4 linked regions of the Cricetulus griseus genome follow. The protein of the gene in region 1 purifies or fractionates together with the protein of each later gene. This does not show direct contact. Links are inferred from orthologs where the notes say so. Each region holds a gene or a part of one and is shown in the gene's direction. Other genes may lie near its edges. The genes, in order: Met, Gab1, Plxnb1 and Lgals1.

Region 1 (3,494 bases):
GGAGACCACCATCTATAAAAAATACAAAGTTGTGGCAAAACTATTGAAGGAAAAGGTAGGAACATGTTGGTACTTTGACCCTACAAGAAAGAACTCAAAAACTGTACCCCACCACCTGCAGATTAAATCTTAATCATCGTGTAGATTTCACATATTCTTTCTGAAAACTGTAACTACTTGTAATGTATATCTCATCTCCTTCTGGTTTAAACAGGCCATGAAATGTATAGCGCTTACTAGTTTGTCTTTAGGGAAACTTCTGCCGTAAATAGCAATGGTGTTAAATATGTCAAGCCAGGGTTAATTCCAGAGACCTGCTGCTGTTCCCTTCATGGCTGTGTGGTTCTGCTTCCCTCACTTGGCTTCTCCTCGATCTTGTGTTATCAGTGGTCCTTTGGTGTTCTTCTCTGGGAGCTCATGACAAGAGGAGCGCCTCCGTATCCTGATGTGAACACATTTGATATCACCATCTACTTATTACAAGGCAGAAGACTCTTGCAACCAGAATACTGCCCAGACGCCTTGTAAGTAAGAGTCTCAGTGGGGCCCTCCTTTACATCTGAAACATGTGACTTCTACAGAAGCACTTGCCCTTGTGTCTCTCACAGCATTTCTTTCTAAAAACAGGTATGAAGTGATGCTAAAATGCTGGCACCCCAAAGCTGAAATGCGCCCATCCTTTTCTGAACTGGTGTCCAGGATATCGTCAATCTTCTCCACTTTCATTGGGGAGCACTACGTCCATGTGAACACTACTTACGTGAATGTAAAATGTGTTGCTCCATATCCTTCCCTGTTGTCATCCCAAGACAACATTGATGGTGAAGTGAACACATGATGGATAGGAGGCCCATCAACCCCCTTCTAGCAAACAATGGTCCATAACTTCTCCGACAGTTCTCACTGCCTGGCCTTTGAAAGGTCACCCAATGTTTTTGCTGTTATTGTTTTGTTTTTGTGTTGCTTTTGCCAAAACTTCGCCACTATGAGACATTGATTTGCTATTTAAATTCCTGGATTCTGGGGAATTTCTCACCTGCCCATGCATCAGACACAGAAGCATGGTCCCCACAAGCTGAGGGCCAATGACAACCTGCAGCTATGAGAACACTCCTATCTCATTGGAGTTCAGAACCTCAGTTCTGGGTTGAAGTTTTTAAAAATCAGATTTTTGGTGAGGAAGTGATACAGTGAACCTTGAAGATTTCTCATAGAAAACTCAGAAGATATGGACTCTTGCAAGATGAATATGGTGGCCCCAGCAGGCTGCTGTTGGAATTCCAGTGTTTTCAACATATTCTGTTGTGTGGTGATCATGAACATTTTCCATTTTTGATGTTGTCTACCTATCAGGCAAACATTCCCTTTTAAACTTTTATATACACATTCCTTTGGTTGGATGACTATCCACAGACAATGTACTTATTTTTCAAGATAGCATGACATGAGGTGTGTTTATAAATTTTCAGGGATTTTGTGTATTGTACATAGATGATGATGGGAAGATTTTTTCAAAAACAAACACAAAAACTTTGTTACAGTAAAATATTTATCATGTAAATCTCAACAGTTTAGCCAGGAGCTAGGGCTCACACCTATAATCCCAGCATTTGGAAAGCTGAGGCAGACACACCACCACAAGGTCGAAACCAACCATGGCCACATAATGGTTTAGAGGCCAGAATGGGCAAGAGTGTGAGACCCAATCTCAGCAAACAAAAATTCAACTATTTGAGAAAAATTTTGTTCTGCTCTAGTGAATGTGGACACGTAATTTTTTATCTGTTTTTTAAATGGCAACTCTGAAAATAAGTAACTTGTGGTGATAAATCTTTTTAAAGACAACTCAGTATGTTTTTAAAGGACAATAAAACTGAAAGGTGCACTATTTCCAGTCATGGCTTGTGTGTAGACAAAGAAAGGGTCAATGGACTGGAAATATTTGCCCTTTCTCAGGTGGAGGCTTCTCACTAAAACAATTGGAGGCAACACTTTTGGGGAGCCTCATTTTGCATTAGGACGTGGTTTAGGCTAAATAAAAGCATATTTTCAAAACAGACAAAAAGCCACTTGAAAAATCTTTAATGAATAGTTTCTCTGGACAGGACTTTTGCCATGTTTTGCTCTGTGGAATTCTGTGCTTACTACTGTATAGTGCATGTGGCTTAGGCTACTCTAGCTGGTTTTGTCAATGTAAACATTGAAAGTATTATATTTTTATAGAAATGTTTATTTTTAATGCTATAAGAACATTTTTGTTAGGCCACAGAAATACTGCACTGTGAACGTTTAAGAAGAGGTATGTGAGAGTTGGATCGACAGCAGCGTGATTTTTTTCTAAATGGCTGTAAATTGTGATAAGGAAGCATACTGATTGCCAGTACACCCCACCCTCATTACATCATCAGGACTTGAAGCCAAGGGTTAATAGAGCACACTATGACATGGGTGTGCTCTTCTGAAACCCAATAGTTGAATTTGGCTGTTGCTGAAGGAAAATGATGGCAATCAAAAGGTCTTTGATGGTGGTGGAACATAATCAGAACACATAAGGAACTGTAGTACAGATTTATTTCAAATCAAATAGTACTGCTTACCAGTTCACAGAGCACTGCCAGCGGACAGCAGAAAACGGTGATCTGCTCTGTAGAAAGAAGTAGCTGTCTCTATGAGGTCAAGAAAGCGAATCCACCAAGAACAGAAAGAGCTGTGGAAGGCACCCAGACCTGTATATACATGCTCAAGAACGCTGCAATGTGAAAATCATGTTTTCTATTTATGAACCTTCCTAGGGTAATGTGTCTGGACAGATTGTGCAAGTAAATCATTCTTGTCAGAATTAGAAACTTGTCACTGCCTATACCTGCAGTTGAGCTGAATGGTACTTTGTATTTTAATAATTGTTCTGATAAATCATACAGTTAAAATAAAGTGACGTAACATCTTGTCTACTGTGAGTTGGTTATAGCTAGTCATGCTTGATTATCTACCTCATTTACATAATGACAGAGGAAGCCTAAGATTGATTTCACCTGGCTCCATGGCACTTCTCCATAGACCAGATGCTGATTCTTTAATGCATGGGCAATAGCTACATTGATTTGCATGCCTGACTCTCTGAAGTCTCTATCTTGCTTCGGGTGATTTGTCCTGAGTTCTTAATTCCCTGCATTTTCTGGCATCCTTTCCCCTGCTAGAGTACTTGGCTTTGTTAAAGTTAAAACTTGGGGTCTTCTTCAGCAAGATGAGTATCCATGGGACAGAAGCTGTAACAAAGGAGCTGCAATGCACAGTTGACAGAAAGATGGATTCCCAAGTGGCAGTTGGAAAGAGATGCCTTTTTGTCCCCTCAAAATACCCCCCTTTACTTACCAGAGAAACTCCATTCAGGTTATATCTATATTCTTGAAATGATAAAGAAACTCAAAGATGATGTATCAGTCATCTAAGAAATTTTGTAGCACTTTGGGGAAATTTGATTCTTTAAAAATTCA
Region 2 (4,114 bases), on another chromosome or scaffold:
CCCCCCCTTCAGGTCGGAGACTGCAGGTGTGCCACCATGCCAGGCTCTCGGCACTTTTCCCTCTCTCCAAACTACAACATTGCAAACTCAGAACTCCTGTTTTTTTTGTTTGTTTGTTTTGGTTTTTCGAGACAGGGCTTCTCTGTATTGCTTTGGAGCCTGTCCTGGAACTCACTCTGTGGATCAGGCTGGCTTCCAACTCACTGAGATTCATCTGCCTCAGCCTCCTGCTTCCTGGGATTAAAGGCATGCACCACCACCTCCGGGCTAGAACTGTTTATTAGGAGAGTCCCAAGTATTATATACTTTTCAGAAATGCTGGTTTATCAATTCATATTTTCACACAGTCCTCTGTTTTTTGAGACTGGATCTCTCTTTGTAGTCCTGGTTATCCTAGAACTCACTTTGTAGACTAGGCTGGCCTGGAACTCAGAGAGATCCGCCTGCCTCTGCCTCCCGAGTGCTGAGATTAAAGGCATGCGCCACCACACCATGCTCTGCAGCACTTATATCTGATTATCTATATTACCTTTTAAAATTTGTTCCAAGGCTTTGTTCCAAATAACACGCATAAATAAGAGCTCTACCACAGGACTGTGTCAAACTCGTCCCAGGTATAATAAGTAAAACACACAGAAGGCAAATAGAACTATGGCATCCAGTACGATTCTGTTTCCTGTCCAACGTCCTAGGGCAGGTTTTAAGCAAATACAAAGCCAACTGAAAGAAACAACCCACGAATGAAGGTAGTGTGAGACTTTATTGTGTCTCAGAACTACATGCTGCTGAACGCTTTGTTGAGGCTAAGGAATCGCAATGGGCAGAACGGCTCCTGGGTCAGGCCCTAGGCGTCCTGGAAGTCCCTCTCCGTCTCCCGGTGCACAGCAGGGCGCGCTCCTGGTCCTGGGGAGGAAGCCCTTTAGCCTCGCGCGACCGGTACCTTGGCTGGGTTATTTTTTCAGGCTGTCAGGTCGAGAAAAGCCCTCGAAACTCCGGATCGCGAGGGTACAGCCCATTCCAAACTCCTAGCTGACACCAGGTAGTGTCAAGATGGCAAACTCAGATGGAGCTGGCGAGCATGCCCGGCGCTCCCGCGCTCGTGCCAAGGTGGCGCTGCGTTCCCGGAGACCGCCGCCTTGCCCAGCGCGCGGGCCCGGGGCGGCAGGGCGGCGAGGACCCCAGCGCGCCGCTGACTACAGATCCCAGGGTGCCTCTGCCATCTCGCTCCCTCCCAGCACCGGCCCCGCCTCCCCGGCCCTTGTTTTGGCTGGAAGCGCTCCGGAGGAGTTTCAGAGAAAGTCTGGGCAGAAGCTGGAGGCGACCGATCGTGGGAAGGGGAGGCGGAAAGGCAGGAGAAGGAGGGCCCACCCCGGGCCGCGCCTCCCCGAACCCGCCGCGCGCCCCCGGGTGGGGGAGGAGCGCAGGGGACGGGACCGAGGGGTCCCTTCCCGGAGCAGAGCCGCCCTGTGCCTCGTCCCTGCGCTGATCCCCGCCCTCGTCGGAGGCTGGAGCGCAGACCCACCCTCCCGCCGCGGACCCGCGACCTCCCCGACGCCAGGCGACGCCCCGCGCCTCGCCGCCGGTGCTCGCACTCCCTAAGCGGATCGGGAGCGGGACTTGCCCCTGCGTCCGCTGCCACCGGGAAGCCACACGCCTTCCCGGGGGCCCTCCTCGGAGCAGAGGGAAGGAGAAGATCGCGCCCCGCTCGCTGAAAGCGCCAGCGGGCGGAGCGGAGCGGACTCCGCGCGCGGGCATTGTGTGCGCGCGTGCAGCGTGGGGTCCGCAGCAGGGAGCGCTCGCGGGAGGTCCTGTCCCCCCCAAGGGGCGGAGCGCCAGGCGCCGAGCTCCCGACTCCGTGTCCCGGCTGAGTCCCAGCTGAGCCCGACCGCTGCCGAGGCGGCGGGACGGCGCGCCTGGCGGCCGGGAGGGTGCACTGAAAGAAGGCGGGTGAGCTCTGGTCCCCGCGGCTCCCGCTCGGGTTCTGCTTCGATCCGCGGGTCTGCGGAAGAGACTCGATCGCCAACACAGGGCGCGCGGAGCCCGGCCGCCCCGTCGAGGGAATCGGCGAATTCCTCGGGTTCGTGTGTGCCGGGAGCGCGCCCACTGTCTCCACCGACCTCTCCGGTGTCTGGCCCTCGAGCCCTCACGGCGTGCACCATGAGCGGCGGCGAAGTGGTCTGCTCGGGATGGCTCCGCAAGTCCCCCCCGGAGAAGAAGTTGAAGCGTTATGTAAGTACAGGTCAGGGCACCGCCGGCCACGGCAGCAGCAGCCTGCTCGCCGCCGAGCTCTTCCACGAATCCCGCCCTCCGCTTCCTCGATCCCTCTCTCGGCCAGCTGGCTTCGGACCGGGTGCGGTCCACTCGCACCCTGGCGTCCACTTGGCGGCCAAACTTTCTCCCTCCATGTTGCAGACCGCCTCCCCTGCAGGCCTCGCCGCCCCTTAGAGGGGCCCAGGCTCAAGCCGGCTGCATACTTTTCGTTGTTGTTAATTCCACTGAGCAAGGGTGGGGTGAAAACGGAAAGAAAGAGCCTTCTTTTATTATCTGCATCTGATTCACATGGAGCTATTTACATCTCCCGGCACCGAGGGCTAGTAGTGATCATCAGTTCTCCCTTGGGTCCGCGCCCCCTCTGCGCCTCTAGGAGGTTGAGGGAAGCGAATCGTGGACGCGAGAAGTGGATCGTATAGGCAAACTTCTCAAAACTACTCACACAAGGGAAAGTGTTGGGGCGGGGGTTGGGGGGAGTTCTTACGCGCCCTACCGTCTGCTTAGCAGGGTTCACATTTTCGCGGTTTTGCTTTGAGGGACACTGGAGTGTGGCCCGAGAACGCCGGCGGTTTGATGCGACCGGAGGGCGCTGGGGGGAGCATGGTGGCTAATGTTTGGGCTCCCCGGACGCGCTGTCAAGCCCCGCAAGAGGGGACAGCTGAAGGCAGCAGGGATTTCTGGGTGTTGTGATTCTTTTCCAGGGCACCAGAACGGCTTAAATGGTATTTGTGTAATTGACTCAAGATGCTGATTGTGTGTTAAACTGTGTTCTCTGTCAAGAAAACTGTATCTTGAAGGAATCTACACTACTGCAGTGGAAGTCTGTGTCCTACTCAGGAGTCTGGGATCTTAAATCTTACTCCAGATCGACTAATTTTACGATGTCCCCTGCCAGCGAAGAAATGACACTTTGTCCTGGCAGCTGAAGCAATTATTTTTTGAGTAAACGTGTTTTCCTAAAGCAAAACGTACAGCGTACCCCCTTAACCGGTTTTGATGGAAACTGTTTCTGGTTGAAGGGAATCTACACCAAGTACCCACCTCAAGTTAGTCAATCCGATTACTCACTGCTTGCTTGCATGAAACGGGCAATATTTATTTCACAGAGCTCACCATCGAGTTTCTGGTTTACTTTCTGCTAGAATATATTACAGACAAGCAGTTTTATTGAAAGATGTGCTTCGTTAAATTGTCGGAGGATCCCCAAAGATGCCTGTCACGTTTTCCTGGATTTCTTGGTAAAGATGGCAATTTGATTCCAAAAATTTTAGAGAGTGGTAGTGGTGTCTTCAGAATTAGTTGTAAAGAGACTATTGTGTGAAGGAGGAGGGGTGGGGAGATGGAGATACTAGGCTTGAGACGCACTGCTTAGGGAAGATGGCGTTAGGATTCTCAGGGAAACTACAGTACAGTATATATGGCTGATAATGGCAATAGAAACTCAGCACACTCTTTCCCATTAGTTTGTGGCTCACTAGTGGTGCTGAACTCGGTCCTAGGCACCAGCCACAAGGGAAGGTAGTACAGAAGGGGAAAGCCTTGTAGGAAGAATGGTCTTAACAAAGGCCAAAATAAAATAAAAACTGGGCATGGTGGTATATGCTCCTAACACCCAGTACTTGGGAGACAGAAATGGAAGGATTAAGGCTAGCCTGGTCTACATAGCAATTCTAGGCTAACAAGGGCTGTATCTCAAAAACAAAACCACAAAAACAAAATAAAGTTTGTTACTAATACAAATATTAATAATAAATACATAGATAACAATAAGCAGAAGTGTGTGGGAGAATATATATGTGTATGATTATGTATATTTACATGTGTCATTTGTTGACAACAGCAA
Region 3 (3,562 bases), on another chromosome or scaffold:
GGGGCCAGGTGGGATGTTGGGAGTAGCTACAAAAGCTGGCTCAGGAACTTTATTAGATGGGCTTTCACTGGGAGAGGGTTCTTCTCTAGCTCTTTGGAGAGGATGGGTGACGCTACCCCCAGGTAGAGGGGCCATGTCTCCATCTAGGATGAGATGAGCTGCATGGCAAGAAGAGAATCCTCCAACCAAGTCCTCTCTTGTCCTTGCAGAATGGCGGTCTGGAGTGGCCGGGCACCTCATTCTTTCTGATGAAGATGTCACTTCTGAGGTTCAGGGTCTGTGGAGACGTCTCAACACCCTGCAGCATTACAAGGTGGGGGGGATGGGAGCTGGAGGCTGGATGGACTAGGGTGGACTAAGACTGACTAGAGGATCACCAGCTGTGGTTAGCAGGTCCCAGATGGAGCAACGGTGGCCCTAGTCCCCTGCCTTACAAAGCACGTTCTTAGGGAAAACCAGGATTACGTCCCTGGAGAACGTGAGTACCTACCTCCTCCTTGTTGTGGTTTTCTGCATGTATGTTGCCCAGTCATGGGTAGCAGGGAAGGTCTTTCGGGCTGAGGGCAGCCTGGTGCCTCCTCAGAGGAGCCTCAGCCAGGTGTTCCCACTCCTGGGGAGTTCACTGGACTTGGATTCCTGAGAGGTGGCAACACCATATGGAGGGCACCCAAACTCTTACATCTTGGCACAGGGACCCCAATGCTAGAGGACGTAGATGAGGGGGGCATCCGGCCCTGGCACCTGGTAAAGCCAAGCGAGGAGCCAGAGCCTCCCAGGCCACGGAGGGGCAGCCTTCGGGGTGGGGAGCGTGAGCGAGCCAAGGCCATCCCTGAGATCTACCTGACGCGACTGCTGTCAATGAAGGTGGGGCTGAGCTCTTAGAAAAAAGGGCTACCCAGGGGACGTGGGGGCAGTGTGGGGCTTGTACAGGTGGCTGCTGCTACCGTCTCCTTCCTTTTCTTCCCACAGGGCACACTGCAGAAGTTTGTGGATGACCTGTTCCAGGTGATTCTCGGCACCAGCCGCCCCGTGCCGCTGGCTGTGAAGTACTTCTTTGACTTGCTGGATGAACAGGCTCAGCAGCATGGCATCTCCGATCAGGACACCATCCATATCTGGAAGACCAACAGGTGTGGGAGGAGCAGGCTCAGGACGTATGGGGGGGTGTGGCCCCTGCCTCCCTCCCAGCATAGTTACTGGCCCCTTCTCCCCAATCTGCAGTCTGCCACTGAGGTTCTGGATCAACATCATCAAAAACCCACAGTTCGTGTTTGATGTGCAGACATCCGACAACATGGATGCAGTGCTCCTCGTCATTGCACAGACCTTCATGGATGCCTGCACCCTGGCCGACCACAAACTGGGCAGGGTGAGCAGGCTGGGAGGGATATGACAAGGGAGGATGGGGTCACCCAGGTAGCCTGTGTGGGTGTGGAAAGTGGAGTGTGGTGACAGTCTATGACTGCATAGTCCTATGTAACCAGTGCCACTTGATGAGGGCTCACCATTAGGGCAAGTGGGTAGGTAGCCACAGTAGGCTTGGGAACAAGGAGAAGTGTCGCAGTTGCCTGCAGGCGGGTTGGAGCTTGGGAGTCCACATTGCACTAACCTGTGGTCCAGCAGTGGCCAGCTCAAGCCAGCAAAGATACAGGTGTGGGGTATTGAAGAGTGAGGCGAAGTCTCCCAGGCTATGATGAGCTCACACTTGTGGATGAGTCTGAGGAATTGCAAGGTGTCACCAGTGGTGTCATGGATGCCTGGCGGATTTGGTTTCTTGGGGTGTTGGAGGTGTCTTTTGTCAGTGGTGTGACAGGAAGCATCTAGGAAGATGTCCCAGGAGTCAGAGCCCAGAGTCTTCTGACATGGGGCTCCCAGTGGCCAGGGCCTTAATGGTATAATGGAACCCACTGCCAAGCCTGAGGCCCTGAGTTCAATCTCTTGGGCCCATATGGTGGAAGAAGAGAACCAACTCCTGCAAGTTGTCCCTTGACTTCCATACACACACAATGTAGGAAAAAACCCCAAAGAAGTAGGCTTCGGTGACCAACAATCCTGGTTTTCTGGGAGCGTCCTGGATTGTGGGTTATTTAGTTATAAAACTGTGATGTTGCTGGGAACCCCAGGTGCTGATCACCTTATTGAACTTTGACCCTTCTTTCCTTCTCTGTTGGTATCCAGGACTCTCCCATCAACAAGCTGCTGTATGCTCGAGATATTCCCCGTTACAAACAGATGGTAGAAAGGTACTGGGGAGGCGTGGGGGTGTGCATGCAGTTGAGGCCCTAGGTGGGTCCTGATGGGACAAGGAAGTGGGCTTTATTGTAGCATCTGTTGTCCCTGGCAGGTACTATGCAGACATCAGACAGACCGTCCCGGCCAGTGACCAAGAGATGAACTCAGTCCTAGCAGAGCTGTCCCGGGTAAGGCTCCCCTTCAAATGTCTCAATTGTAGAGAAGCCCCTGTCACCTCTATACCTATGATCTGGCTGGGAGAGAACACACTGTCACCATACAGGAGGAGTGTTCCAATGTCAATGGTATTCAAAAAGGCCAGCCCTCCTAGCATCTCTGAGTGAGCAGGGTCTCGTTTTGATAGCTGTCATCTAATCTGATCTAGCCAGGTGCTTGTGTTGTTGAAGCCCTTGTTAGGTAGGGTCTGTTGAATGGATGGGATTCAGCTCTGGACCTTTTCAGTCTACCTGCCCGTACTGTCACTGTTCTGTTGCTCATGGCACTGTCAGCACACAGGAGAACTTTAGGAACGATGGACAGTGTTCCTCAAGTAGTTACAAGGATACCCACATCGCCAACAGCAGCTGTGTCAAGCCCTTCATGGGGGTGTACTTCTACATTTGATCCCCCCTGAGAGCTCCATGAGTTACTTAGAGTGAATCAGCAATTCTGTCCAGAGAAGGAGGGCGAGGGTCTGATGTCCCCGTGAGGAAACATTTGAGTAAGATCAGAGCAAAGTTACGCTGCATTCCCAGCCAGTCTATCTACAGTTCTGCCTGGAGAGGCTGGCAGGGCTCCAGTGGAAACTCTCTTCCTCCATGGGGTCTTTGACTTAGCCTGTCCTGAGCTGCAGTCACACTTTGCCTTGGGTCCCTGCCCTATGGAGATCCTGCTTCCCACCACAGGACCCCCTTTTTTTTTTAAGATTTTATTTATTATGCATATAATATTCTGCTTCCATGTCTATCTGCACACCAGAAGAGGGCACCAGATCTCATAACGGATGGTTGTGAGCCACCATGTGGTTGCTGGGAATTGAGCTCAGGACCTCTGGAAGAGCAGTCAGTGCTCTTAACCTCTGAGCCATCTCTCCAGCCCCAGGACCCATTCTTTTTCAGGTCCCCTTCTCTGGGATCCTGCCCCTCCCCCACACTTCCTTCTCATTTCTCTCACCCTGTATTTGTCCTCTTCCCTAGAACTACTCTGGTGACCTTGGGGCGCGAGTGGCTCTGCACGAACTCTACAAGTATATCAACAAATACTATGACCAGGTGAGCACACCCTGGACCTGTTAGTCATTCTAGGAGTGCCTAGTAGAATCATCACATTC
Region 4 (4,322 bases), on another chromosome or scaffold:
TTCCATTGCTTAGGGGACAGGCAGTTGCTCAGGAGAGGGCCAGTCCTGCTCCTGCATGTGCAGACGCTTGACCTCCTGTGGGGGAGGGGCTGTCCTGTATGGCTTTGCTTTTTCTAGAATCCAAGACGACTGCAGATTTGGGTCAGTGACTTGTCTCCGTGCCTTTGGCTTAGAAGGAGGATGAGGTAGGTCAGGAAGGTTGAGTCAAGCAGGAGTCTGAGCCAAAGTATGGAGATGGATCCAAGAAAATGCAGAGAGAGGGCAGACTCATCCTGTCAGTAGTCTTCTGGACCCAAAGGAGGGGTCCAGGCTTTTGGGCAGGAGCAGCTTCAGAAGTGCCTTGTTTTACCACTTAACCCTCCACTCTGCTCAGTGAGCCTCCCTAAGTCGCATTTCACCCCATAATTATCTGTAGCTCCCTAGGACCCTCAGGCGAAACAACAATGAAACCCTTTGTCTGGTCCGAAAGGCCCTTCATGATCCCTGACTCCTATCTCTCTCCTACACACTCATCAGCTTGTTCCCCAGGCTTGGGCTTCTCATCACAAAGCCTTTGCCCAGTCAGAATGCCCGGTCATTCAACACCCTGCTTTACATCCCACAGTCTCCATCCCACCACAGTGGTATCTATGTCTTTGCCTTCCCCATAACCAACACAACCTTATTTAATCAGACTCATGGTCAGATCCTAGCCAAACCGTGGATTCTGAGAGTAGGGACTGGGAGGGGCTCAACTTTGAGTCCTCCAAGGCCAGCCCAGGGCTAGACACATAGTAGGTGCTCAGGAAAGTATCTGCTAAATGGATGGCCATGTCTGGTCTCCAAAAGTGAGAATGAGACCAAGGGTGCAGAGCTGACACACCTTAGGCTACCTCTCAGGCCCAGGGATGTCAGAGCCAGGGCACCCAGAAGTCTCTGCAGGCTCTGCAGTGGGGTGAAGTCCAAGGTATGAGCCAAGGACACCAGCGTCAGGCCTGGCGCCCAGCCCAGTCTTTCTTTAGCCCTAGTGAGCAGCACTGAGCTGCAGCCACAGTACGCTGCTTCCGGGGAAAGCCCGGGTGGGGCCTGGGCTTTGTGGTCCTTCTCAGCCCTCCACAGAGGCCCACATCCAGAGCCACAGCCGGAGCCACACCCCGGTCTGCCAGGCTGCAGCCTCTTTTAGCCCTGCTCTAATTTTCCTCAGTCTCTACACACATACCCCCACCAGCTGCACTGAGCCCCAGGGGCTCTCTGCCTGCTGGCCCCAGGCCCCTTCCCGCCAACTCTTGAGCCTAACTCATCCTCAAACTATTTTCCACTGGCTCCCCCAATCTCTGCCACCACACAAATCTTTTTTTAGTGGGAGGAGAGAGATGGGGAAGAATAAGGGGCGGCGCTTGGACCCTGAGGGAGGGACTAAGGAGGGGCACTCTTCTCTCTGACTGGTCACCTCTGCTCTAAAACTGGATTTATAATCCATTGACTCCGCCTCTAGTGCCCCCCCACCCCGTTCCTGACATCAATTGGCCTAGCCTACCGGAGGGGCGGGACTCACCGGGTCTGGGTCCTGTTAAAAGGGTCGGAGAGGGCTTGGGGTCCCGTCACTCGGGTGGAGTCTTCAGACAAGTGGTGCAGCCGCCTTCACTTCGCTTCAGTCATGGCCTGTGTGAGTGCGAGACCCTCTACTGCAAGGTCTAGGGGATTAAACAGCAGCAGATGGGCATAGAAAAGTGGCCAGTTTGGGACCTGGTTCCAGCTGTGCGGCCTTAGACAGGTGTTTTCTCTGATCCTCAGTATCCACGTCTGTAAAATGGGGGTGGGTGGCATAGTCCCCAAAAGTCTTCAGCCTCTCTGTGTTAAGAGTATCCTGGATTCCTCTGAGCTCCGACAGTATGCTTACATCTTAGAAGGTCCAATATTGGGGCACTTCGCAGTTTTCTGAGAAGTAAGAGTGGGAAGGGTGTGGCCACCTGGGGAGGGGGAAAGGGGAGGCAGGGGGACAATTTGGGCAAGGCCATTCACTGCTTCCCTCTCCTCTACTCTAGAGGCTCCTGACCCCTCCCCCCCTGCAGCTGTCCCCAGTCACAGAGCCAGGGCCCAGTAGATCACCCTCTGCTCCAGAAAAACTTAAAAACCTCCGGGGCCCAGGAGAAGCTGCCGTCCAGGCCAGGCTGGGGCTGTTCGTGGCTGCCGGCCAGCCGGGGGCCTAGAGAACTGCGTGCATTTGCACAAATAGACATACAGGCTGTGTATTTGTCAGGGTTCAAATGTCAAAGAAGCTCCTCACACAAATTAACTCCTGTCTGCCCACCAGGCAGGTGCCCAGCAATACCCAGCTATCTGCTGGGTTCTCCTCTAGTTTGCTAAATCCATGATGCTGCTCTCTAGCTGCACTCTTCTGCGGGGGAGGGAGGAGGGGGGCTGCCCCTCAGCTTCTCCACTCCAATGCCTGTAGACAGAGCCTTGAGGGGAACTGGAGAGGTCGGGGCTGCTTTTTCACTCCCGGAGGCGCTAAATGAGAACTTCGGTCACGCTCCATCTTCCCCTCCACTCTAAGTTAAAAAAAAAAAAAAAAAAAAAAAAAATCTCCAAGCTGACTGAGTGAATCTTCTAGGCTCTGTCTCTGTCCATAAGTTTCAAATTAGCATACCGTGCTGGGACAATCAAGACTAGAACTTACACCTTGTCCTACCCACCCACCCTACCTCTGGGCTTCCCCTAGGGCTGCTCCGGATACCCAGGGTGTCTCTGATCCCATGCACACACCCCAGGCCTCTGCAGGTAGCTCAGGCCATGTTTGAACTCGGCCCTAAATGCAGCTAGGTGGTCTTTTCTACACAGGGTCTGGTCGCAAGCAACCTGAATCTCAAACCTGGGGAGTGTCTCAAAGTTCGGGGCGAGGTGGCCCCTGACGCCAAGAGGTGAGAATGGAGCCAGCGATGGTGGTGGCAGGGGCGGTGTTAGCAGGCCTTGGGTCCCGAAGCTGGGGATGGGCGTGGCTGGGCCAGGGCTCCTCTCCCCAGCCCGCAGGGGGTTAATAGTCAGCTGCAGAAGCTCCGTTTTCTGGGTGAGTCACTTCCTAGCTGGGTCTGGTCGACCTCACCGTGGTCTCCCTTCCCCTCCCGCCCCCTCTCTCCCGGATGGAGGTTCTTAAACTAAACCAGCTGCTGCCTCAACAGCTACCTCGGCTTACCCCCTCCCCTTCTGCCTGGGATGTGTAATGTGGCAATGAGGGAGGGATCACCCACGTGCCTGCTGCCTGGGGGTGGGGTGGGGTGGGGTGTGCCGGCTCAGTCTTTTCTTTCAGTGCTTCCCTCTCATTCACAGTCCCATCGCCTATTTTCTAGGCAACCATGTGACCTTAGACCAGTCACCCAAGCTCAGGAAGCCTCGTTTTTTTTTTTTGTTTTTTGTTTTGTTTTGTTTTTTTCCTTGTGGGGAGACAGGGTCTCACTATGTAGCCCTGGCTAGCATGGAACTTACTATATGTCTACCAGACTAGCCTCCACGGAGACCCACATGTCTTTGCCTCCCCAGTGCTGAGATTGAAAGTCTGCACCTCCACACCCGGAAGAGTCTGGGTTTCCTAATAAAGCCAGAGGGAAAGTTGTGGTGTGGAGAATGCCAGGGGCCAGATTTATCAAGGCAGCTAGCTGGCTGATGGTAGTGAGTGCCTGGGCCTGCTCCTCTTTTTTCCTACCAGACCATGGTGGCAAGTACTGCTACCAGGTCCCATGTAACAGATCAAATCCCATACTACTATTTGCACTTTTACTCCACAATGATGGGACATTTGCACAGTGTTCTGCTCTGTACTAGGCACCAAGGACTCAGATACACAAGACAGACAGGAGGACATCGGAGAGTCTCCCCCTTGACCAAAGAGCTGACACCAATTAATGTCTGGGAGAGAGATCCCTTCAGCGCAGGCCCCCTCCCCCCATTGTACAGACAGGAAAGAAACTGGCTCAGAGAGAAATGGTAGGGTCGAGATCAACTCACATATTGAGGCCAGAATTAGAACCCAGGTTCCTGGCCTTCCTGTTGGCTGAGTTTCAACAAGGTACATTACAGGCCAGCTGCTGATGCTGCCTTTTCTCAGTGAGCTTTGGGTCTAGAGCCAGCCAACATGGTCTTAAGCCTACCTGTCACTCCCTAGCTTTGTGCTGAACCTGGGGAAAGACAGCAACAACCTGTGCCTGCACTTCAACCCCCGTTTCAACGCCCATGGGGACGCCAACACTATCGTGTGCAACAGCAAGGATAACGGAGCCTGGGGGACTGAGCACCGGGAGCCTGCCTTCCCCTTCCAGCCTGGAAGCACTGTGGAGGTGGGCAGGATG

What was found.
Region 2: the proteins of Met (region 1) and Gab1 purify together in Homo sapiens (affinity purification with western blotting; 3 studies listed by BioGRID and IntAct, with this or other methods). This does not show direct contact. The link is inferred for Cricetulus griseus from reciprocal best matches to the Homo sapiens genes MET and GAB1.
Region 3: the proteins of Met (region 1) and Plxnb1 purify together in Homo sapiens (co-immunoprecipitation; 3 studies listed by IntAct). This does not show direct contact. The link is inferred for Cricetulus griseus from reciprocal best matches to the Homo sapiens genes MET and PLXNB1.
Region 4: the proteins of Met (region 1) and Lgals1 purify together in Homo sapiens (affinity purification with mass spectrometry; 3 studies listed by BioGRID and IntAct, with this or other methods). This does not show direct contact. The link is inferred for Cricetulus griseus from reciprocal best matches to the Homo sapiens genes MET and LGALS1.

What each region holds. Positions count from the first base shown.
Region 1 is NW_023276806.1:208,978,523-208,982,016, reverse strand, and holds the end of Met (hepatocyte growth factor receptor), read left to right. Parts: intron 1-387; coding exon 388-524; intron 525-627; coding exon 628-838; 3' UTR 839-2,957; downstream 2,958-3,494. UniProt on the Homo sapiens protein: Receptor tyrosine kinase that transduces signals from the extracellular matrix into the cytoplasm by binding to hepatocyte growth factor/HGF ligand. Regulates many physiological processes including proliferation, scattering, morphogenesis and survival.
Region 2 is NC_048596.1:156,648,628-156,652,741, reverse strand, and holds the start of Gab1 (GRB2-associated-binding protein 1), read left to right. Parts: upstream 1-1,287; 5' UTR 1,288-2,157; coding exon 2,158-2,229; intron 2,230-4,114. UniProt on the Homo sapiens protein: Adapter protein that plays a role in intracellular signaling cascades triggered by activated receptor-type kinases. Plays a role in FGFR1 signaling. Probably involved in signaling by the epidermal growth factor receptor (EGFR) and the insulin receptor (INSR).
Region 3 is NC_048597.1:217,226,763-217,230,324, forward strand, and holds part of Plxnb1 (plexin-B1), read left to right. Parts: intron 1-209; coding exon 210-313; intron 314-393; coding exon 394-478; intron 479-691; coding exon 692-864; intron 865-969; coding exon 970-1,130; intron 1,131-1,221; coding exon 1,222-1,369; intron 1,370-2,178; coding exon 2,179-2,243; intron 2,244-2,344; coding exon 2,345-2,420; intron 2,421-3,428; coding exon 3,429-3,503; intron 3,504-3,562. UniProt on the Homo sapiens protein: Receptor for SEMA4D. Plays a role in GABAergic synapse development. Mediates SEMA4A- and SEMA4D-dependent inhibitory synapse development. Plays a role in RHOA activation and subsequent changes of the actin cytoskeleton.
Region 4 is NC_048595.1:376,034,521-376,038,842, forward strand, and holds the start of Lgals1 (galectin-1), read left to right. Parts: upstream 1-1,489; 5' UTR 1,490-1,636; coding exon 1,637-1,645; intron 1,646-2,820; coding exon 2,821-2,900; intron 2,901-4,138; coding exon 4,139-4,310; intron 4,311-4,322. UniProt on the Homo sapiens protein: Lectin that binds beta-galactoside and a wide array of complex carbohydrates. Plays a role in regulating apoptosis, cell proliferation and cell differentiation. Inhibits CD45 protein phosphatase activity and therefore the dephosphorylation of Lyn kinase.